2 linked regions of the Macaca fascicularis genome follow. The main gene of each other region encodes a partner of the protein of the gene in region 2 in a complex. Links are inferred from orthologs where the notes say so. Each region holds a gene or a part of one and is shown on either strand. Other genes may lie near its edges.

What was found. Proteins that work in one complex are often made in the same cells at the same time.
Region 1: PHF20 (region 2) and KANSL2 share a complex: the UniProt entries of both Homo sapiens proteins name them as parts of the NSL complex. The link is inferred for Macaca fascicularis from reciprocal best matches to the Homo sapiens genes PHF20 and KANSL2.

The regions. Positions count from the first base shown.
Region 1 is NC_088385.1:55,461,683-55,464,712, forward strand, and holds the end of KANSL2 (KAT8 regulatory NSL complex subunit 2), read right to left. Parts: intron 2,198-3,030; coding exon 2,078-2,197; intron 1,656-2,077; exon of another isoform or gene 1,519-1,655; intron 1,308-1,518; coding exon 1,176-1,307; 3' UTR 537-1,175; downstream 1-536. UniProt on the Homo sapiens protein: Non-catalytic component of the NSL histone acetyltransferase complex, a multiprotein complex that mediates histone H4 acetylation at 'Lys-5'- and 'Lys-8' (H4K5ac and H4K8ac) at transcription start sites and promotes transcription initiation.
Region 2 is NC_088384.1:91,946,758-91,950,411, reverse strand, and holds part of PHF20 (PHD finger protein 20), read right to left. Parts: intron 592-3,654; coding exon 478-591; intron 1-477. UniProt on the Homo sapiens protein: Methyllysine-binding protein, component of the MOF histone acetyltransferase protein complex.

The DNA of each region.
Region 1 (3,030 bases), on a different chromosome or scaffold from region 2:
GACAATACCTTACTATCTTAGTGATCCAGCATCAGGCCCAATTTCTCTTATGTTTTAAGTATATTCCTACCATTAGAGAATTTTGAGATGGCATGAGCATTATTGTTTTTTTAAATAATTATTTAAAATTTGAAAATATAGACACAGGGTCTCAGAATGTTGCCCAGACTGGTCTGGAAGTACTGAGCTCAAGTGATCCACCTATCTCAGCCTCCCAAAGTGCTGGGATTACAGGTGTAAGCCACCACACCTAGCAGAGATGACATTGGCATTAATCGTGAGAAATGGGAGTGGGAGTAGGGGACACAGAGTGGAAGGGTAGAAAGAAGATATTTGGAACTGATTGGCTTTAATAAGTCCTGCCCCTTTTCATTTACTTCTTCCTTAAAAGCAAAACCAAAATGAGCTACTGAAGATTTATTTTTTCCTGGGATGGAAGTATTATCTGCCCCAACTTCCCTTTCCCATCAGAGACAGGTCCCTAAAACCGCGAAAGAGAGACTATATTCTCAAACAAAACATGCATTCAATTCAGGTGACTGTCTGATATTTTCATAACATTTTCTTTAACATTTAATAGAAACTATATACAATAAATTTGTACTATATTTTACATAAGATAGCAACCACAGAAATTTACATAGGTTAAAAGCAAGATGGATAAGGAGGACCCAGTCCTGTGGGCTGTTTTCTCAGAGGATAAAAGCCAGAGTTCACCACGGAAACAGGTTAAAGATTGCCCAATTAAGTAGAGGTGAAGAAAAGTTAAACTGCAGGTCTTTAGATAGAGATAACCAGATATTAGGGCCATCAGTATCTAAAAGACACTACTCACAAAGACAGCTCCCACCTAGCTACTTAAGTGGATTTCTATCCATGACTTTGGAAATCCCATTACAAAGATGTCACTTTCCTTTTAGGTATAGTACCAAATAATCCCAGAAGCTTTGATAGGGATTATCTCTCTTCCTTGCCCTGAGTGGGAAGAAACCCACAACTTTTAAGAAGTATTGGTCCATGTCCTCAAAATTTGGCTTTACTTTTGACTATAATACTCAATCCAGAAGAAAAACAAGATAGTCTGGGTTGCCTGTGTTTTGCGAGAGATGATCAGAAATATTTCTTTGAAGAATGAGAAATTTAAATCCACCAAAGTAAAATGGTTCCCCAAACTATCAACTAATAGAAGTGGGTTCTGGCTTCCCATTTGCAGTAGCCAATCCACTCTGAGACAATGGTGCAGAGGCTTTCTCAGAATTTCGAGATCCCTGGGATCTGCACCCATCTCCAGCCATCTGCATCTGGCCCTGTTAAAAGAAATAAAGGCACTTCAGTTAGAAATTCATTCACTGTGGTCTGAAGTATGAATCTGACTTATCAGTGGCCATTTATACTAGCAATAAGAAAAATACAACAGAAATTAATTAATTCTGGACAGATGCTCCTCCCTATATTAGCTATCCCTGTCCCTTGGAAGAGCCTACTCCTGAGCCTCTTCCAATGGGTTGGAGAGCTGTAGGTTGTTTCTTCCAAATGAAAGAGCCATTCCCTGCTGAGGTCCCAGAACAGCCAACAGACCATAGGAAGACAGTCCTTTAGGCCTCTGCTTGAAACCAACAGCTACAGTACAACTGCTGGTTTTCAGTCAGGGCCACTGGAATTCTACCCAAGGCTCACAGACAGAACTCAAATCACACTACTTTACTGGTCATTCTATAATGAGAACAATTTCAGTGCTGAACTCTCCCTCAGAAGGTACAGTTTACCTAGATTCCTTATCTCAAGCTTTTATTTAAATAAATTTATGTCCTACTCTGGGATATGAGGATCAGGGGCCATTAGGTGTTCTAAGAGTCTATCTGGAGAACTACAGCAACAAGGGTATACAGGAGCAAAGTAGGGCATTTTTAAAAGTGCTTTGCTTATATGGTATTCAATGAGCGAGAGACATGTGGAGCATCTTTATACTAGTGATGACACCCCACTCCCCTCCAGGAGTACATGCTATCCAGCAGGGAACCCTCTGCCTGGCCAGGTCTCTACATGCGGGAAACAGGTGGGATTGTTCTTGACTTGCCAAAATATCCACTGGGTCTTCAGCAATTTCTTTGACTAAATGATCTTCAAGGGTTAGTGAAGGATCAAAAAGCAAAGGTGAAGGAGGACACTGCATACCATCACCCACAACATCCAAGTCCTAGAAAACAAGAGAGAAAAGCCCATCAGCAATACCAAGGGAAACAATAATAAAGGTGGTATGTTTTTCAGCAAACTTTAAAGCAATACTCTGCTGTCTCCCTCAACCCTAGCCTACCTTTGATCAAAAAAAAATTTTACCAGAACGTCCAACAAATGAAACAAGATCCAAGAGCACTGAGAGCTCTTGCTGCCAAGTGTAAAACATAGACCAATATAGTGGATTAAAAAACACAATTCTGGCCACCACACCTATAATCCCAGCACTTTGGGAGGCCGAGGTAGGCAGATCGCTTGAGCCCAGGAGTTCAAGACCAGCCTGGGCAACATGGTGAAATCCTGTCTCTACAAAAACTGCAAAAATCAGCCAGGCGCAGCAGCACACACCTGTAGTCCCAGCTACTCCAGAGGCTGCTGAGGTGGGAAGATCCCTTGAGCCCGGAACACAGTGGCTGCAGTGAGCCGAGATTGAGCCTCTGCACTCCAACCTGGGTGGCAGAGTCAGACCCTGTCTCGGAAAGAAAAAAAATGTCCAGGAAAATTCATAGAAACACGAAGTAGGAACGGAGAATAGTAGGGAACAGGGGAAAGGGAAAGGAGAGAGTTACTGTTTAAAAAATACAAAGTTTCTGTTTGGATTGATGAAAAAGTTCTGAAACAGAAAACATTGATAGCTGTATAACATGGTAAATGTTCGTACCACCACTGACTTGTACACTTAAAAATGGCCAGGTACAGTGGCTCATGCCTGTGATCCCAACACTTTGGGAAGCCGAAGTGGGAGGATCACTTGAGGCCAGGAATTCAAGACCAGCCTGGGTGATACAGCAAGAC
Region 2 (3,654 bases):
CCCGGCCACACCCAGCTAATTTTTATATTTTTAGTAAAGACAGGGTTTCACCATGTTGGCCAGGCTGGTCTCAAACTCCTAACCTCAGATGATCCACCCACCTCAGCCTCCCAAACTACTGGGATTACAGGCATGAGCCACTGCGCCCGGCCAATAAGTAGTATTTTTAAAGTTTCACTCTACATAGAAACCCATCCCTTCCTAAGCCATTAAATTTCCAGTGGCATCCAAATCAAATGTGATTTATGGATATGAAGATGATACCACAGAACCCAGCATTAGCACAGTTTGTGCTTTGGGATTTATTTTTCTTCTAGCAAAAACTCCTTCTGATCCAACTGCATCCTACTCACATTACCTCATGTGACCAGAGACAAACATTAGAGCCTATAGGGAATGGGGGACAGGATGAATATAGAGGAGGCTGACCCAAACAATGTCAAATTCTAGCCACACATAAACAAACTGGAAACTCACATGAATTTTTGTCAAGTCGAGGACGTTTTAATGGGACTTCACATCCTTTTGATATTTTCCGTCTTCTCAATTCCAATGTTATTGGTTGCAAAGTTTGAGAGTTTGAATCCACAGCTACCATGTTTATAAAACCACACAAAAAAGATACATAATTTCTTAGTGTCTGTCATTTTTATATACAAATAAAACATATATATGCAAAAATCACTGCATTATAAATGGACCATCAAAATGTCATTCTTACTTAAGATAAAAGAAAAAAAGTAAAATGAGTGAGAAATTACTTCCTTATAGGAGATACCTTGCAGATTGACCTCCTGAATCTTTTCTATGATCCAGCTCCAGTTTTCAACCTCTACTTGCTACATTAATTACCTTAGCATTGAGCCTAGTTTTGAGGGTACAAGAAAAATGTCTAAGAGAATTTTTTTTTTTTCTTTTGAGACGGAGTCTTGCTCTGTCCCCCAAGCTGGAGTGCAGTGGCGTGCTCTCTGCTCACTGCAACCTCCGCCTCCCAGGTGCAAGCAATTCTCCTGCCTCAGCCTCCAGAGTAGCTGGGATTACAGGCACCCAACACCACACCCGGCTAATTTTTGTAATTTTAGTAGAGTCACGGTTTCCCCATGTTGGTCAGGCTGGTCTCGAATTCTTGACCTCAAGTGATCCAGCCGCCTCGGCCTCCCGAAGTTCTGGGATTACAGGCATGAGCCATGAGATCTGGCCAAGAATTTGTATTTTCTTAAACACAATCCTAAAAAAATTATTGGGAGACTATGCTACTTAATAGTCAATGTTCCAGGCAAGCCTGCTGGTCCCCGGCAAACCCAGCTCTGACGTAATTTAGCAGTACAGACGGTAAGCCTTTGAAGAGTACTTACTATTTAGTTTTTTGTTTGTTTGTTTGCTTGCTTGCTTGCTTGTTTTTTTGAGATGAAGTCTTGGTCTGTTGCCCAGGCTACAGTGCAGTGGCGCGATCTTGGCTCAATGCTACCTCTGCCTCCTGAGTTCAAGCGATTCTCCTGCCTCAGCCTTCCCTGTAGCTGGGATTACAGGTGCCTGCCACATCTGGCAAATTTTTTTTTTTTGGTATTTTTAATAGAGATGGGGTTTCACCATGTTGGCCAGGCTGGTCTTGAACTCTTGACCTCAAGTGATCTGCCTCCCAAAGTGCTGAGATTACAGGCGTGAGCCACCTGCCCGGCATAATACTTACTATTAATTTTTTTTTTTTTTTTTTGAGATGGAGTTTCGCTCTCATTGCCCAGGCTGGACTGCAATGGCGCGATCTCAGCTCACTGCAACCTCTGCCTCCCAGGTTCAAGTGATTCTCCTGTCTCAGCCTCCCAAGTAGCTGGGTTTACAGGCATGCACCACCACGCCTGGCTAATTTTGTATTTTTAGTAAAGACAGGGTTTCTCCATGTTGGTCAGGCTGGTCTCGAACTCCTGACCTCAGGTGATCTGCCCACCTCGGCCTCCCAAAGTGCTGGGATTACAGGCGTGAGCCACTGAGCCTGGCCCTTACTATTTAGTTTTAAACCTACGACCTAAGAAGCTCTCCCCAAATCAGAAAAGATGAGAATCAAAAAGGCAGGCAGAAGGAACTGGGAAGTTGGGCAGGAAGGCAAGGCTAAGGGGTCTCAGGAAGGGTAAAATGAGGAGAGAGAAGAGGAAGGAGGAAAGGAAGATGGAGGAAGAGAAGTAAATGGAAAGAAAAGAGGAAGGGAAGGGAGAAAGATGAGAAGGGGGAAGAGGGACAGAAAAGATTCATCTAAGACCTGTAGCTTCAGGTAGGTCAAATGGCTCAACAAGACACAGGCCTGAAGTGTGAGGAAGCAAACCAGAAGACCGTTGAACTCCAAGGTTCTTCCTGTGTTCAAGCTTCCCAATGTGCCAGTATTATTTTGTTCCAACTGGCAGAACTTGGAAATCCCACACATTCCATGTTAAACATAAATACAAACAGGCTGGCTGGGTGTGGTGGCTCACGCCTGTAATCCCAGCACTTTGGGAGGTAGAGGCAGGCAGATCACCTGAGCTCAGGAGTTCAAGACAAGCATAGCCAACATGATGAAACCTTGTCTCTACTAAACATACAAAAAATTAGCCAGACATGGTGGCACGCTCCTGTAGTCCCAAGCTACTCGGGAGGCTGAGGCACAAGAATCACTTGAACCCAGGAGGCAGTGGTTACAGTTAGCCGGGATCGTGCCACTGTACTCCAGCCTGGGAGAGAGAGACTCCATCTCAAAAAAATAAAAATTTAAAAAAAAAAAAAATACAAACAATCCTCTCTAAATAGCTCATATCCTGTTCCCAATCAAGTCTATACAATCTAGGGTGTTCAAAGAAGGCTCTAAAAATCAATGAACTTATTCCAAGTAATGTTTTAAGGGGATTTGAACAATATATAGGATATCTGGCAAGTCTTCTTCCCTTTGATACTGTATATAAACAGGGGCTGACTATACAGAACTTGAGTGTTTCCCAAACTCTTCTTACAGTATAAGTCATCTGGGAAGCTTGTTAACAACTCATATTCCCAGGTTCCCATCCAGACAGTCTGACTGGGAAAGAACTGAGACATGGCTGGAATCTGTTTTTACAAATGCCTTGGGCAAGGATTAACCATAAACTTGGAAAATATCCTTTCTATATTAAATTTATCCTACTCGTTATGAAATCCTACACTTATAAAAATATAAAAACCAAATGTCCTTTTTCTTATCTCAATGGAGTCATGTGGCTTCAAAGGAGCAGTCTGCTTATTGGGGTACAACTACTCCTGTACATACTTTCTCGAGGGTATAAGCCAGGGCATGAATAGCTAAAGGAGAATCAGTTTCAAAACACTCAGTTCTCACAGATACTCTTTCCTAAACTAAGCTAAGGACATGTCAGATTTCTGCCAGTTTACATTTTCCACCCCTCCTTGTATAATAACTGCTTTTAACTGCCCTTCTCCCACTTTACATAAAAGGGCCTGCCTCTCACTCATCCCACATCTTAACATGGTGCTCTGCCTGGAGGTTTAAAATTTCCAGATTTTCTCAACTGGGTTTCCTCATCTGAACAGAGATACATTTTCTCTGTTTTCGTAAGGGTGGTATACAGCTATTACCATTCTCAATGCACTAAGGTCAATCCATCACAGATCAAGGATGGCTTGGGTATTGTG